2 linked regions of the Oreochromis niloticus genome follow. The protein of the gene in region 1 purifies or fractionates together with the protein of each later gene. This does not show direct contact. Links are inferred from orthologs where the notes say so. Each region holds a gene or a part of one and is shown on either strand. Other genes may lie near its edges. The genes, in order: get3 and ubl4a.

Region 1 (8,759 bases):
GGCAGCTCTCTGGCTGACCAGAGGAAAAGGTGAGTGTTACTTACTTATGATGGATATAAATAATGTCATCACCCCCTCTCCATTTTCTATGTTAGGGATCTGCATGCCACTAATAACAAGTAGATTTATTAATGTTCTAGATTATGATCATCACAATTATACTTATCAAAACAATACTTTAAGGCCCTGACAATTACAATCTTCCTATCAGAGCTGTTTTTAATTCTTAACCTTAAGCTAAGTTTTGAGTTTTGGACATACTGTAAGCAAATACAATTTATTAGAAACACAGAGCCTTTAACAAAGACCTTTCCAATAAGGAAATCCAGCAGACCTTGTCACCATTTATATTTAACAACTAGTAAATGATTTATAGCAGCAGTCCCCAACCCTTTTTGCACAATGGACCGGTTTAATGTCAAACAATATCTTCACGGACCGGCCTTTAAGGTGTCGCGGATAAATACAACAAAATAAAATGATACGACCAAGACAAAAACTGTGGTATTTTGTAAATATAATAATAAACGCGAATTCGCTGTGTAATTGTGTAACTGTATTAGCAGCGTCCTCCTGAAATGCGCCAACAAGACTGAGAGTAACATCCTCCTCTCTGCCCCTTAATGCTCTCTGGTCGCTATGGTAACATGTATATATTTCTTTCAAAATAAGACACACAACTACAAAACGGGAAAAGACTCAGGGAAACCGAGTTAAGGCCGCAAGCAGGGGTGACATGGGCCACAAGCGGCCCCTGGGCCGCGAGTTTGAAACCCCTGACTCAGAGGAGCCCATCTGGTACCAGCAGCCATGCATTGTTTAAAGTCACTTAAGTCCCCTTTCTCCACCGTTCTGATGCTCGGTTTGAACTTCAGCCCACTTGTCTACACGCGTAAATGCACTGGGTTGCTGCTATGTGATTGGCTGATTAATCAGAATCAGAATCAGAATACTTTATTGATCCCTAGGAGAAATTATTTTTGGTTACAGTGCTCCAGTATAAACAAACAGTAACAAAGACAGACAATACACTAAGTAAGAATAGCACAATATATACATACATATATATACATAAAAGTCACTTATTAATAAATAGCTGAAAAAGGAAGAACATGTGCAAAAAGGGTGTAGCTATTGCAGTAAACAGTGTGTTAAGTGGATGAGTTGTACAGGGAGATGGCCACAGGCAGGAATGATTTCCTGTGTCGTTCAGTGGTGCTTTTCGGTAATCTCAGTCTCTCACTGAACGTGCTCCTGTGACTGACCAGCATGTCATGGAGTGGGTGGGAGGTGTCATCCAACATTGTCTTTATCTTGGACAACATCCGCCTCTCCGACACCACCTTAAGTGAGTCCAGCTCCATCCCCACAACATTACTGGCCTTACGGATCAGTTTATCGAGTCTGTTGGCATCTGCGACCCTCAGCCTGCTCCCCCAGCATGGAACAGCATAGAGGATTGCACTGGCCACAACAGACTCATAGAAAATCCTGAGCATTTTCTGGCAGATGTTGAAGGACCTCAGTCTCTGCCAGAAACATTTAGACATTTACAATAACGAGCAGTTGAACAGGTGTACCTAACAAAGTGTCTGAGTGTATTTTTTATGTACTGTATATGCCTGATCTGTGTGTGGTTGTGTGTGTTCAGTGTTAGGTATGAAGATCCAGGAGCTGTGGAGGGCCTGGCTGGAGCTCTTGATACCAGGCTGCAGGTCACAGGAGGAGGGTGTACAGCAGCAGTAAGATGCAGCTGGTTTTTGTTTGGAGTAATATCCCTGTTTTAATATTACAAATAAATAAAACTCAGGGTCATTTAATTTCTTTTAGATTCCACCAGCGAAAAACTCTATGCAGAATGATGTTGACAAATGGTTATCTTCTGATGTGGTAAGAGAACACGTGTATATATATATATATATATATGTATAGTAAAAACAGGGTGATAACAGCATGACTTAATCTTTATTCTTTGTGTACGTAAAAACAGGAAGAGCAGTCTTCAGTTTGCGAGGGAGTTTCCAGTGAAGGTATGTCTGGTCCTGTCACTTCTTTTGAGTAATGATAATATTTTCAGACACACACAAATATTAAATTATACGTGTCACCATTTCAGAGTTTGATAAGTTCCTGGAGGATCGGGCGAAGGCGGCAGACTACAGCAGCCAGACGATTCTCAATGTGCCATCTTCCACACCCAGACGGCCACCACAATCTAGCCAGCAACAGGATACCTCACATGATCATCTTTTCTCACTCTGAGTGTGTGAATAAGCAAGACGACAGGATGGAGGTCAACACAGGAGCATCACAAACTGAAATATGGTTACATTCACACGTATAGTGTGCCAGGTCGGGTTTTTTCTAAAGGACACACGCACGCGCACACACACACACACACACACACACACACACACACACACACATAGATGAAACCTGACACTACAGAACTGCTAATCAATCAGCTTGTTTCATAAATGCTGTATTTCTCCGTTAATTCTGCTGTTTGTTATCTTTATGTGCTTATACAATTTTATGTGACTGTATTTATATGTAATATTATAACATGGGAGAAAACTGGATGTTTAGTATAATGCAGAAAATATACTTGATATTACACCAAATGTGCCTTTGATCCATAATGCTGATTTTGTGTAGATGAGAATAAATGGGACATTTGCCCCATGAACATTTTTCATGTGGTCTCTTTTTAAAATATTTTACTCCTTAGTCCAGTGATTTACACACCAACTTTATCCAATGAATATTTCATTGATAACCCATTTAAAGTTGGCACTTTGCAAAAGATGTTGAAGTGTGGAAATTTTGGTACGTGACATCTTGCATTAAACCAAATTTCACCATAGTTGTCTTATATTCAGATTGTAAGTTAGTCAAAATATCAGAGTCTTGGGAACTCAAGTGTGCCATACTAAATAGTGTGCAGCTTGTGTGATAAGACACTGAATTCAGTATGTTGTTGTTTAAGAGCCCAAGGATGTCTGGTGTTGGGTACACAGAGTCCCGGAAGCACCTAGAATTGAAAGCATAACTAAACGGCTGAAAGGAAAAGCTAAAAGAGCAATTTTTCATTCTTTGAGCTACAGTCCAGATCTGAAGACCATGTGTGGGCAGTTTGCCATTTGTCTCTGCTGGATTTTGCTATCTTTCCTCCTGGATGTATCTCTGGCCTTTATTTCCAACATTTCAACTCAAAATCAGCATCCAAATGTGACTGTTGCTCAAGACCAGGATGGCACAGGCTGGGATTCACGATTTCATCAGCTGAGAGCCAGTCTTCCATCCTTCTCACACCCAATCCGTCCATACACCCTCATCACAAATGCTGACGACTACCACTACATGCCCAAAGTCAGACATCGCCGGCCTTCTCTCCTCCTGCGTCTTCTGGGATCCTCGTTTGACCCATTTTGGATGTCTGTAGATCGCCCTTCTGAGTCCCCCCAGGGAGTTCGGCCCACCCTCACCACCTTCAAAGAGAAATTTAACCTGTGTGTGTCTCCAGAACTGAGAAAGGCTTCAGCAAAACATCAGCAGAAACTAGAGAAGGAGGCTGCAGAACTGGACCTCAGTTCTCTGCCATCAGATGCTGCCAGTTCAGTCAGAGAATGGCTGGTGCACTCAGCAACATGCAAATTACAGCACCAGTGGGTTGATCTGGGCCCAACCTTCTGGCCACGGTGGCTGCGGCAGACTGACTGTGAAGGGCCAGATGGAGGGCAAAGTTGCTCCTTTCCCAGTGGGATGAACTGCGTGCGAGCTCAAACAACACACATAAAGATTCTGGCTTGGCACTGCATTGAAATCAGAGATGGAGATGATGGCTCCAGAAAATTGAGAGGTGAAAAGCCTGATGGCAGTGCTCAGATGGGGACAGATGAAGCAAGGAAAAGATGTTTATGGAGACAAGTGCCTTATCCTGTGGTGACTGCATGCATGTGTTCATGTAAATGAATGTTTTTATCACTGCAGACCGGCTTTTTTCTGTGCACACTGTGTTTTTTATTATTTTGTTGATTTTCAGTGTTATAGTTGAAATGATCGAACATGGCTACTTTTAATTACAAAGACAATGCCGCTACCTGCTCTTTCATTTTCTCTGCTCTAAACTTTCAACATTTTTATTACAAACTGGTTTAATAAATATTTAAGTAAATATTTTACGTCAGTAAACTGCAATTTCTAAGGCGCTGAGTTTAGTGTAGTTCGTGCTACATTCAGGTTTATTGGAAATTCGTGGATTGTGCATGTTTCTTCCAATTTTTCTTTTTCGCTCTATTTTTGCAATTTCATATTCAAACAGTATCAAACAATTTTGTTTACAGGGAATATTAAAAATTAAAGTGTTTTTGGTAACTCACTGTTGTGTTTGATTGATTGATCATACTTGACAGTATTAATTGAAGATACATACTAATCATTCTAAATAATAAAAATCTACATAAACCTGTTTCTTGCTGACTTCCTTGCAAACTATTCTAACGTACACATGCGCATGAATATAATATGAATAAAATATAAGTGTCAGCACCTATGTGATTCCTTGTCTTCTTCTGTCAAAAATTAATAGTGTCTTCTACGGAAGCGTAGAGCTGCCACCCAGGCAAAAGAAAAATAGAAGTATATCACGTTATAACGTGAAAAGTTTATTGTTCTAACAAGATACTTTTCATGTTTGTACAATATACTATCATGTTTGTACAATATACTTTTCACGTTTGAACAATATAATATCACGTTATTACAATATGCATAAATATCACGTTCGTACAATATATTTATATTGTTCGTACAATATATTTATATTGTACGAACGTGATATTTATATTGTACGAACGTGATAATTATGCATATTGTAATAACGTGATATTATATTGTTCAAACGTCAAAAGTATATTGTACAAACATGATAGTATATTGTACAAATGTGAAAAGTATCTTGTTAGAACAATAAACTTTTCACATTATAACGTGATATACTTCTTTTTTTCTTTTGCCTGGGTGGCAGCTCTACGCTTCCGTAGTCTTCAGTATTAAAACTACCAAATGTACAACCCACCCTGCAGCAGTGTGAAACCTTGCGTGGGTCAAAACTCCGAGGAGCAGTGAATGCATCAACTGTGGATACGTCTTTGCGTAACTCCTGAGCTGTACGTCGCTGACTGTACACATACAAGATGGCAGCTTTGGTGGAAGACGAATTTGAAGATGCGCCCGATGTGGAGCCGTTAGAACCAACTCTGAAGAATATCATCGAGCAGAAATCTTTGAAATGGATATTTGTGGGTGGGAAGGGTGGCGTTGGTAAAACGACATGTAGGTAAGTTCATTAAAAATGCTAAATTGCCTCCGGATACTGACTCGGTTTGAGCGGCTGGCTAGCATTAGCCGTTACCATAAGTTGACGTGGATCATTGTCCGAAAATGAATTGCGTGGGTAATTTTTCCCACGGCGAGATTAGACTGGTGTTAAATTTCTACCTAAATACGCGCTGGCATCAAAGAAAAGTGACTGTTATGTTTTAGATTTGAGTAAGGAGTCCTTTCGCCGGGCAGTTTGGTAGCTGTGAAGCGCAGTCAGCAGCTAACGTTAGCAGCTGACACATGGATTCACGACTTTCTCAACACCTTCAGTAATCACCGTATAAGCCACCATCAATAACCCGCTGCTGATATTATCAGTTCTTTTACTTCACCCAGAGTTAAAGGAGACTCCAGAGTTAGGCTGTCAAGCCCTTATTATCATATCTTTATTCATAACAAGAAGAAAAAAAATATGAATAAATACGATTCCAAATGAACGTGGATCTAGTCTGTCTGCAGTGGACTTATTTCAAACAAGATAACCAACAAAAATCTAATTAACGTGTCAAACAAATATGTACATTACACCAGAGCAGCCACGATAATATTGCACATAGATTAACCACTGTCGCATCCGCTATCACTTAAGTTACAGTATCTACTGTGTTTCATTTGGAATATAATTGCATGCAAAAGTTGTGTTCATCAAAGTAACTGGGGTAAGGTAATGTTCACAAAGTGGAAATGAATTAGATTTTTACTTTGTGCTTTACACGGCATGCATGCACATAAACGATTAAGAATTAAAAACGTTGCGGATCGCATTGTTAGTCAGTTGCACAGCATTTCTTACATGCTTACATTGGGCACGAAATAATCTTAACAGGCTCCAGGCTCTTTAAACATAAACCTGTCCTCTTTCCATGTCCTTCTGACAGCTGTAGTTTGGCTGTCCAGCTGGCGGCTGTTCGGGAGAGTGTGCTCATCATTTCCACAGATCCTGCCCATAACATCTCTGATGCTTTTGACCAGAAGTTCTCAAAGGTACCCACTAAGGTTAAGGGCTATGACAACCTCTTTGCAATGGTGAGTATATGTGTACACTTAACAGCTATTAAAGGTTACAAGTGAGAGGTGTTGCTTGATGAGATTAAAAATTGAACTCAAATGTTTGCAAATATATATTTTTTGAGAAGCATGTTATTAATAATATTAATAACATTGATGAAGTTTCTGAAACGACAATGAGCAAGCATCCACAGTACAAGGATTTTCTTATCCACATTTTCATCCTTGCATCATATTAAAGTCTAACGTTTAGACAGAGTTTAAAAAGCACAGAGGGTTTGTTCATTCTGTTTTTGGAAAATAACATTTAGTGCATGAGATCACCATCTTTTCAGAGTCATGAGGCTAGCCAGTTCCACATGTGAGTCTCACAAGCACCATTGTGTAACAAACTCAATCACTGGAGGGCATAAAAACATTTGCAATCTATTTGAAGTGTGCTGATCTTAGAATTTGGGCATGTGTATACAGGAGATTGACCCGAGCCTGGGTGTGGCAGAGCTGCCTGATGAGTTCTTCGAGGAGGACAACATGCTCAGCATGGGCAAGAAGATGATGCAGGAAGCCATGAGCGCCTTCCCCGGCATCGATGAGGCTATGAGCTATGCAGAGGTCATGAGGTAGTTTTGTATTTGAGTTTTCCTGCAGCATGTCTGAAGTTTTAAGGACAGTTAGTGGGTGTTATACTTACCACTGTTGTTTGCCTGTATCTCAGATTAGTGAAGGGAATGAACTTCTCAGTGGTGGTCTTTGACACTGCCCCTACTGGCCACACACTGCGACTGCTTAACTTTCCCACCATAGTGGAGCGAGGTCTAGGCCGCCTCATGCAGATCAAGAACCAGATTAGCCCTTTCATCTCTCAGGTGGGTGCTGAGATGAGCAAATCAGTTCAAACCATTTTCAGGATTCTGCACATAAAATATGATCTCTGATTAAATATATGCACTTTGTTGGCCTTTCTCTTTCTCCAGTGTTTTCTCTTTCTCTCTTCTCTTGTTTTCACTCACACTGTCCATCTCTTTTGCTGTTTCTAGATGTGTAATATGCTTGGTCTGGGTGATATGAACGCAGACCAGCTGGCCTCAAAGCTTGAAGAAACCCTGCCAGTCATTCGCTCAGTTAGTGAGCAGTTCAAAGACCCTGTAAGTCACATTTGTATATTCTTATACAACTTTGAGATTTATATAGTACTAGCTTACTATTGATTTGATGATTGAGGGGAGAATTCACTGCCTTTTAACAGGAAGAGCCCTCTCTGGTGGAGATCAGGTTAAGGGAGGGTGCTCCTCTCTGATTTTATTATGTATATAAAAATATGTGTTTTCTAGTACTCTCACATTTGGGGTCAACTGAAAGCTTTTCAGAGAGCTTTTAGAACAACTTGATAAAAGAAAATTACAGTCGTCTAGCCTAAAAATAATAATGATGCCTGGTTGGTTTTTTTTTTCTTTTTTTTTTCCTTTTTTCTCTTCAGCCAGTTCCTAATTTTGGCAGTATTGTACAGATGAAACAGATGCAACATCATTGTCAATTAAAGATGTAATTGCTTTAATGGTTATAGTCTCCACCCACCCATGATGAATAAGCCTTTTCACACTACACTTCAGTCATATACTGTTCTAATGAGGTGCTGTGGTAGCTACATGCACACCCTCTGTAACAAGTCTTATCTGATGACAGAAGAAATTGTAGCTGGTTCGAGTGTCAATAGTGTGTGTGGATACAAAAGAGTTTTTGGAGTGACTCACTGTGCACAGCAGCCTGTTGCACATGCATGTATCCCTCTTATCAAGCCCTCTTTATACTATTTTGTCATTAGGACAAAAGAAGTTTCGACAACAGTTTCACCTTTTTATTATTTTTTTTGAAGTTGTAACTCCACCCCTGTTGAGCCCTAGTAGCTGGTCTGTTTTACTTGATTGCTTTAGATTTTGTTATTCCTTTTGATTTTGTTCTTTGATGGGAACTCATCAGCCTGTTTAGACAAAATATTTAATATAAAAAACGAATTCAGTATTTGGAGCAAATTTGAGCTTCATCTTGTCATATTAATGGTTTTTATGTATGTGTGTTGTAACGCACCTTCCTCTCACCCTTCAGGAGCAGACCACCTTCATCTGTGTGTGTATTGCTGAATTTCTGTCACTTTATGAGACAGAGCGGCTGATTCAGGAACTGGCTAAGTGCCGCATCGACACGCACAACATCATTGTCAACCAGCTCGTTTTTCCTGATGCAGACAGGCCGTGTAAAATGTGTGAAGCCCGCCATAAAATTCAGTCGAAATATTTAGACCAGGTATGAATCAGGAGAAATGGGAAAGTTTATTTACAATATTTACAGTTCAAAGTCAAACAACTTTA
Region 2 (8,979 bases), on another chromosome or scaffold:
ATCAATAAGACTATCAATATACATATATATATATATATATGAATGTGCTTTTTCATTATATGTGCAGAAATTTCTTTACAGCATCATCTGAAGGAGCTTTTTTTCCTTCTTACCCCCACAGAGCCTTTTCTCCAAACCACTGTCTCTCAGAGAGCTTAGAAAGAACTACCTGTTCTTCCTGCTCTTGCCCCTTTTCAGTCACTTTCACCTGTCAAATGTAATGAAAAAAGAGGTAATGGTGATGAGCGCAACGCACCAAAGTAAATTATCACCATCATAAAGTCATTTCCGCCACTGCTTTGACATTTCTGTCATCCAGGCTGTAAATCTTTTCCTCAGAAAGCCCCCCTTGATCTGCGCAGCAGGATGAGAGCAGAAAACTTTACCTGGCCTTTGCTGATGATATAAAAAGTGTCTCCTGTGGCCCCTTGTCGAATGATGTAGTCGCCGTCGGCGTAATGTGTCTGTGGAAGACAAATGAAAACCGACAGCGGTGTGACCAGTGGAAAAACATCAATAAAACAAAGAAGGGTTCATCCAGAGAGCTTTCCTTGCACTTATACAGGCACTGCATGTAAACATTCACCTCATCCATTAGCTGGATACACCAGTGTGCTTCACAGTTAAATAACTTCAAGTGTACCTCTTCCATGAGATCCGACATTTTCATGAGGACATCTGCTGGGAGCGACTGGAGGAAGGGAATGCTGCACACAGATACAAACAAAAAGCACTGGATATCATCCGCAATAGCTCATGTAGGTGCATGAGGACAATGAGCAGATACCGTGCTCAGAGGTAAAAGCCTACATGGCCCATCAAAGCAGCTTTTTGGAGCTGCTTCATGTGCATCAGTCTGATTTTCACCTGCTAAGAAGCTCCACTGAATGGGAAAGGTGCTTGAGACCACTCTGCATGAGTATGGTCTGGTAGCTGTTGCGATCCACAACCCACAGCCTGCTGTCCGTTCGTGCTGCAGATCAAAAGACAGAGACAGAGGAAGACGCTGTGTCAGTGACAGACGAGTGAAAGCACTATCGAGACTCACGCTGCCTGTGATGGATGTGGACGTGCAGCCAGTAAGTAGGCCAGGATTTCATTAGAAATGCTTACCGTGTATCGTAAAAACTAAAAATACTTGTTTTCCTCACAGAGGTCAGTAGATATCAATCAAATCTAATTTCCTTCAGCCATCATCACCATCTTTCTTTGTAATAGAGCTTGAAAGAGAGTGTCGTTAATTAATAATGACCAGTATTGATTGATTCACTGAACCTTCCTGCAAACGGAAGACGACGTCCCCTCCAGACAGTCTAATAAGATCGAGCATCTGATTATTGCGGTGCAGTCCTTATCTCAGTTCCCCGTTTTTGGATACAAACCAAACTTTGTCGCTTTACCATCGTATGACACACGGCGTACAGCCATTGGTCCTTAATTCAATCTCCTACGCCAGGTATGATGGGAAGAAAAGTAATTTCAGGTCAGGAAGGAGATAAATGCAACAGGCCTTAAATGGATTGAAAAAAAGAGGGTACATGGAACAAGGGGGAGCAGCGAGTTTTGTTACCAGAGAGCAGACAAATGTAGAACAGTGAATTGGAAAGGCTGCCTGGTTACAGGATAACGAAAGGAGTTTTTAAAAAAAGGGGAGGAATGGGATGCTTTTGGGACCAAACAAGACAAAACAGACAGATTTTTCAATTTAAACTGATCCGGCCATTTTCACAGCCTATTTATTTGTGAAACCAGGTCAGACACACGCAGCCACGACTGAAAAGGTTTTCCCACAGGACTCTGTGATCGGATCCTCAAAGGAAATGATAGCACAGTTTCTGCTTTTAAGAGGGAAAAAAAATCATGTTTTTACACCAGAAAAGCACAGATGAGAGGTTGTAACGCAGCGGTCATTGAATCGAGATCGTTTACAAGAAGATTATTTTTAAATGTTTGCAAGATGCTGAGATGCTGGATTGTAGGGAGGAGATGTGGCGCTTCAGGCAGCCGTGTTAAGCGGAAAAAGCCGAGGATGCTTTAAATTCCTCACATCCGTTAGAAAGCCATGCGAAGCTGTTGTAAGATCTCAGAGGGTCTTTTGATTTTGAATTCAACAGGCATCTTTTGTCCGAGGCCACAGCCAGAAATCTTACCGCTTGCGAAATTCGCTTAAACTAGAATTATTTATATCCTCGCCGAATCAAAGTTAATCACAGAGAAATTCTTCAGGTTGACAGCTCTCCTGTGACATCTGAGCGCAATTATAAAATAAGGAAGCCGATGCAAAGCTTTGATTTACCTGACACAGAGTAGGTGTGGGTGCAGTTGTAAAGGAGCGCTAGCTCTCCAAACAAGTCTTCTGGTTCAACTGTGAGCAGCTTCAGTCCATCTTTCATCATTTCCAGCCTCCCTTCTGCGAATAAACAAACACTGGGTGAAGGACGACGCAGAGAAATGCGTTTTATGTCAGATAATGTACAGACTGAGAGAGATGTACAGCACAAACAACAGAAAGGCAAGGAGACCGGAGATAAACAGCCGCTCCGTCTCCTCGGGCTCAAGCTGACATTTCAACCCAAACTAGAAATGTGTTGCTCCACATGCTGTCACTTTATTGCACTTCTATTTGCTTCTATTTATCAGTACAAAAATTTTAATATAAAGATATGATCAAGCTCATCATTTAATCAGTCTGTCCTTAAGCATCTGACATCTCAAGGAAGCCTTAATAAATATCCTCGTGTGTGATTAATAGCGGCCATTGCAAGAGGAAAAAAGGATTTACCTTCCAAAACGTAAGCCTGAGCCCCAGCGGTCCCCTCCTGAATAACATAGCAGCCTTGATTGATGGTGGTGGAATGCATGCAGGCGATGATGGCTCTGATTTCTCCTTCATCAAGGTGCTTCAGCAAGTCGTTTCTCAGAAATGATGCCCGAATCAGCCTCTGGGACCTGAGGACATGAGGAAACGATATGAAATTTGCACGTGAGGATGAGTTATTAAACAGTGTCAAATACTTGAGCGTCTGACAATGAATAAAAAAAAAGCATTGGTTCATCATGAGTCATGCAGTCAGCAGTCAGTGAGCCTTGAACATGCATGAGTGTGATTTTTCAATCTGAGCAGGTGTAGCTCTGAAGGGAACACTGTGTGCTCTTACTCGTGGCTTTTGTCACAGCTTCTCTGTGAAACCAAGGCGAGAGTCACTGGGTCCAGAGTGAGGGGCTCACAAATCACCGTCTGCCTTCTGGGTCTCTTGTTGTCATCAGTTTGACCTGAGGTAGAAGCAAAAAAATAAAGAATAAAAAAGTCAAGGAAATCAAATAGAACTCTATATCAGTCCTAATAAGCTCTGCAATTATTAAAACAGCACAAAACTGCCTACATGCACTGACTGCAGAGGCTCCTGGGAGGGAGACAGTGGTTCTGTAGCGGTCTAGTTCTTCCTGCAGCCTCCGGATGAGTTCATCCTTCGTGTCCAGCTCAAGCTCCAGCTCATCTATCAGCGTGTCCCTCTGGCGAAGCTCCTCAATCTTTAGTTGCAAGGCAAACTGGAGGTCCCGAAGTGTACCCATCACCTGCAAACACTAGCAGACTTCATCTATGCTTTTGACAAAGAGCCATCCATAGAGTATATACATTCCTACAGCTGCTATGCAGCGTGGATCTATCTACAACAAACTTGACCTCTGTATGATTTTGATCTACACCTCTCTTTATTATTTAGCTAATCTGTCCAGGTGTAATGGCTTCTACCTGGATAAGAGCATAGATCCACCTGTTTTGGGCTTCTTGTACATTTTCACACCTATACGAGTGTTCATATGTTTACGAGCACATTAATGTTCACTGCAAATGAGTCACAGGTAAGGTATAGCCCCACATTGCAAGCATTAGCTCTAGTCTGTTGTTCTGCATCTCTATACATAATTCAAGCCACATTAAGAGAAAATACAAAGAAAGTAGAAATGAAATGCTTACACAGTAAATGTTAGTACAAACTTCCTACTGAGTCCCACACAAAAGTCCTAACAGGAATAAAAACATGAAAATAACATTGGATTTTCCATGTGACTGTTAGGCGTGGCTGATGCTTTCACGATGATTTTTTCTGTTTTTTTAATCTTTGCTGATTTTAGCTGTCATGTTTCTAATTGACTGTCTGTTAGCACAGATGAGGCTGTATCCGCAAACTGTATTAATGCTGTGCGATATTTCACACCATAAACAAACAAACAAACAAATGAACACAAACATCACTTACCACACGCAGCCTGTATGGCGTTATGGGGTCTATTTCACCGGCGTGTTTTGGCCTGGTTTGGCTGCAGACTGTTCACTCGACAGGTGCACATCCCGTCTGTAAGTGCCCAGCTGAAGGATGCTCTTCTTTCTTGCTCGCGGCTGGCCGGGGCTGGGCACAGACAGCAGGCAATCACATGACCCACACGGTGGAAACCATGCGGGGAGGGTGAGATGAGAAACGTGTGGATCGGATCCCATCTGGGTCACGGGGTCCTCAGGGTGTTCCGGAGCCTTGGGAGTAGGTGGGGATCCGGCAAACTGTGCAATGCATGTTAATGATTGTATGCCCAACCGATCATGAAGCAGGTTAAAGGCTGGCCGTGTGCACCGATCAAAGATTTATTCGTTTTCTCTCCATAGCAGCTGTGCAGCCATCCAAATATAATTTTACCTTATATCATGTTTTTTTTTCTCTCAGTAAAAGGCTTGATATGTATTTGATGTAGGTGCGTAAAGTAACAAAATAAATGTTCCTCTGCAATTGGACGGCAAGTGGTTTTCCGATAACAACAGTTTCAAACTACATGTGATGATAAGTTATGGTAACAGCTCTATAATGTTGCAATAATGTTAGCCATTAATAGGAAAATCAGTAATAAGTTACTGCGTTCATCACGACACTAGTAAAAACACGCTAGAGCCATGCAGCGTTAGTCCACTTTATTTAAACACAATTTCCGTGCGTGTTATTTAAACACACACAAAAATGAAAAAATGAAGAAAAAAAACTAGCCCTAGTGTACCATTGTTGATAATATTACTAATAGCCGCGTTATAAGTCAAATCTGTAAGCCTTTTTTTGAGTTTTCCCATCCTTTTTTTTCCTTTTAATATTCAACTGCGGCATAATTAGGAGAAAATAAATGGATTATTCTTTGTTTTTGTTGTTATGACACTTTCCTCTGAGGGCTGGCGTAGCTGCCATGCCACACTCCGGCCAGCGCGCGGCGGTAGTGGGATGCGGGAGAAGAAAATGGGCCGTTGGCAAGCAAAGAATCGCGAGCTGATAAAGTAGCTGTACTGTGAAGCAGCACACTCCGAGACGTTTTGTTACTTCATCTTTATTGTTGTGTAATTTTTTTGTTTTTTTAAAGCATATTCAAAAATGATCCTCACGGTGAAACCGCTTCAAGGAAAAGAGTGCAGCGTACAGGTGAGTGAAGTACCGCTGCGCTAGCTCACCGCCTCATGCTAACTGCGATAGCAGCTAGTAGTTTAGTCGGGCCAGCATTGGCATGTCACATGCCGAGCTACCTTCAGAAAAACGGCCACACATATGTTTCTTTTAAAATAATAAAATAGCCTGTCAAAAATACTGGGATTCAGTGCTACACACTGTAGCCTAAACTAGTCGGTTGTATGGGCATGTCTCCGCAGAGTCATTAATTTGGCTGGCGTGCTAGCTAAATCCTGGATAAGATGTTGCATACAATCTTCCCTGACAACAGCTGACTAGTAGCATTTGAAGTCGGTCTTTGTGGTTTCGGGGAAAGAAAAAAAAGGGAAGTCCTATCTGAGGGAAACAGCTTTTGGTGCAGTAAGACCAATATAGCTGTCAGTTAGCCTTAGCCACAGTCTGTCTCTCACAAAGCTAATTTTTTTTTAAATATTATAAAGCACAAACTGGACCTTTACTTGGAGACATAAGCAAAGGCCCCTGAATTAAAGAGAATATTAGCGTGTGGCAGCCACTATTTTAACATGACCAGGTTTTAAGGAAATATGCAGGCAGTCAAAAGCATTTTATTACGTGGGGAAGTATTTCCCCAAGTGGGGAAGTATTTCTAAAATCGTTTAAAAATTCTGTGTTCAGCAGAGAAGTGGTTCCATGCACAACATCTGTGCCATAACAGTGATTACAGCCATTTCGTTTAAAATGTTAGCAAGAGTACACTTTTTTTTTTTTTTTTTGAGAAATGGGGCTCTACAAATGCCAGTACAAACCGGGAATGTCACTTGTACATATATTTAACATTAATATCTGGATAATGTAAAGGTAGGAGTTATTTGAGAAAGATTTTTAAATGATAACTTAATTTATCAAGGAACAAACTTTCCAAAGCTCACCCAGTGTGAAAAAGGAATTGCCCCCTAAACCGAATAATTGGTTGTGCCACACCTGGCAGCAAGAACTGCAATCAAACTGGCAATGTGACTTTCATGTTGCTGTGGAGGGAATCTTGGTCCACTGTCCTTTACAATATTGTCCTAACTCAGCCTCATTGCAGGGTTTTCCAGTTTCAGTGTACTGTTAAAAGTCATCCCGAAATATTTTAATTGAATTTAAGTCTGGACTTTGACAAGGGAACTCTAAAACTTTTATGTTAGTTATTGAGCCATTCAAGGGCAGATTGCTGCTGTGTTTTTGGTCACTATCCTGTTGCATAACCCAAGGGCATTTGAGTGTTAGAGGACAAACTAGTGGCTCCTGAAGGATGGAGCAGAATTCATGGTTCCATGAATTACAGGAAGTCTTCCAGGTCCCGAAACAGCAAAGCAGCCCTACACCATCACACTACCTCCACTGTGTTTGACTGCTGGTGTGATGTTCTTTTTATGAAATGCTGTTAGTTTTACACCAGATGTAACACAGAACTCAAACTCTTCAAAAAGTCCAGATTTTTCTTGTCAGTCTAAAAAATATTTCCAAAAGGTTCTGGGGATCATCAAGATGCTTTTTGGCAAATGTGAGACAGGCCTTTGTGTGTGTGCGTGTGTGTGTTGTTTTGTTCCAAATATGCCAAAAAACAAGAAATCAAGAATAGGGCAATTACTCTTTTACAGCACTGTGTGCTGTGTAATTTAAACACTGTTCAGCTGCACAGACAGAAAACAGTGTCATGCTCTTAAATTACACATGTACTACATGATTGGGTTGTTTTTCTTCCAGGTGACTGAAGACGAAAAGGTCTCCACAGTGAAGGAGCTTGTGTCTGAACGTCTCAACATACCAGCAAACCAGCAACGGTTACTCTACAAAGGGAAAGCTCTCGCAGGTAGATGTGCCAACAGCGACATGTTTGATGGCAGCATTTGTTAATACTTTTATGCATGCGTCATATGTAAATTTTTAATGCAACACATTGTAACACTCTCCCTCAGATGAACACAGACTGAGTGATTACTCTATTGGTCCTGAGGCTAAATTGAATCTGGTAATCCGTCCCATGGGAGAGAGGACTGCAGCTTCAGGAACAGCAGCACCAGGCGGTGGTGGTAGCTGTAGCAGCACCAGCAGCGGAAGCAGCACACATGGAGGAGTGTGGCAGACCGTCTCCACTATACTTGCTAGACACTTTAGTCCGGCAGATGCAGCAAAAGTTCATGAACAGCTTATTAAGGTATTTAAATGCAGCGTCATTTTTTTTTTTTTTTCTTCAGACAAGTTGACAGGTGCGGATATTTAATAAATCTAAAATATTAAAGTTGAAAGGGCCAGTTATTGATGATTTATGAACATGTAGTGCTAATGGTGAGATACTGATTTAATTTCTGGAAATCTATTATTAATAATTACTACAATATTTGTATAATGCTTTTATCTTTTAATGAGAACTGTTTTTACTGTAGAAAGTGGGTGTACTGACAGCTCTTGAGTTTGTTAGTTGTTCAGCTCCTATCCATCCAACTGTGCTCACTAATTAGAAGCTACATTCAGCTGCTCCCTCATTCACGAGGCGTTGCCACAGCAGGTAGCTCTGCATGCCTTCCCAACGCAACCCCAAAGGGATTCATGTCTCCTCCTTTCGCTTGTTAGGCAAATATGTAAACCACTAAACTATGGAGCCACTAATTATGCTGGGCTAAATAATTAATTGAACAACCCAGACCAGTAGTAGCCAGACGTGTGTGTGTGTGTATTTGAAGGGTTGGGGGGGGGATGAAGCAAAATCTGGTTTGGCCTTTTGCTGCCAAATTCTGTTGTTATCCTGAAATTGTTGAATTATTTGCGTGCAAACAGCATTACAAAACAAACTGCCAAAAGTGCAAATTAGCTTACCTCCACTTACGTCCACACTTTTTGGACTTAACAAACTCCTTTTAAAAGCAACAAAAATGTTTCTGAAGGTCATGCCTCCAGTCCTCCATGCATTATTTCTCAGCCAGAACGTGTTGTAAATAAATGAACTGAAATGTTTTTAACCTGCTGTTTTTCAATATGTTTTTTTTTTGCTTTCTTTCTTTTCTCAAGGACTATGAACGTTCCCTTCGACAGCTTAGCCTCGATGACATTGAGCGCTTAGCGGGGAGGTTGCTTCATCCGGAGGGCGAGGGCATGGACACCTCATACATGGACTAAGAATGCATAGCTTGAAGCTGATTTTTTCCGATTGTTGTTTGAGAGACGCTCAGTGCTTTGAGATGCATACGGTGTTTAGAGTGTTAGGCTGTGGAAAATACAATGCCATTTTTCTTACAGAGAGCCCCAGGGTGAGCATGGATAACACTGACTGTTTGTCTCAGCAATAGGGCTTTCTTATCTTGGATGAGAAAACTTGGCATCTTGGAATTGGCCCTTGTCATTGGTGGCACAGTAACCTCGACCTGATCACATAATGTCTGAATACAAAGGAGTCCATTTATGAAGCTATCTTCACATGATCTCTGGCTGCTACCATTTCCAGGGGACACTAACTTCTAATGGAGGGTATTTATTAGTAATATTTGGGTTGCGT

What was found.
Region 2: the proteins of get3 (region 1) and ubl4a purify together in Homo sapiens (affinity purification with mass spectrometry; 4 studies listed by BioGRID and IntAct, with this or other methods). This does not show direct contact. The link is inferred for Oreochromis niloticus from reciprocal best matches to the Homo sapiens genes GET3 and UBL4A.

Annotation. Positions count from the first base shown.
Region 1 is NC_031971.2:34,349,535-34,358,293, reverse strand, and holds the start of get3 (ATPase GET3), read left to right. Parts: upstream 1-5,167; 5' UTR 5,168-5,198; coding exon 5,199-5,341; intron 5,342-6,263; coding exon 6,264-6,411; intron 6,412-6,864; coding exon 6,865-7,013; intron 7,014-7,108; coding exon 7,109-7,259; intron 7,260-7,430; coding exon 7,431-7,538; intron 7,539-8,496; coding exon 8,497-8,694; intron 8,695-8,759. Other genes in the region: target of Myb protein 1, read left to right, coding at 1-29, 1,652-1,742, 1,831-1,890, 1,991-2,030, 2,117-2,262; noggin-2-like, read left to right, coding at 3,124-3,975.
Region 2 is NC_031977.2:13,690,752-13,699,730, reverse strand, and holds the start of ubl4a (ubiquitin-like protein 4A), read left to right. Parts: upstream 1-5,245; 5' UTR 5,246-5,408; coding exon 5,409-5,456; intron 5,457-7,193; coding exon 7,194-7,299; intron 7,300-7,405; coding exon 7,406-7,644; intron 7,645-8,495; coding exon 8,496-8,603; 3' UTR 8,604-8,979. Other genes in the region: prkg1l (cGMP-dependent protein kinase 1), read right to left, coding at 114-208, 387-464, 587-707, 868-973, 2,297-2,410, 2,783-2,949, 3,159-3,273, 3,384-3,573. UniProt on the Homo sapiens protein: As part of a cytosolic protein quality control complex, the BAG6/BAT3 complex, maintains misfolded and hydrophobic patches-containing proteins in a soluble state and participates in their proper delivery to the endoplasmic reticulum or alternatively can promote their sorting to the proteasome where they undergo degradation.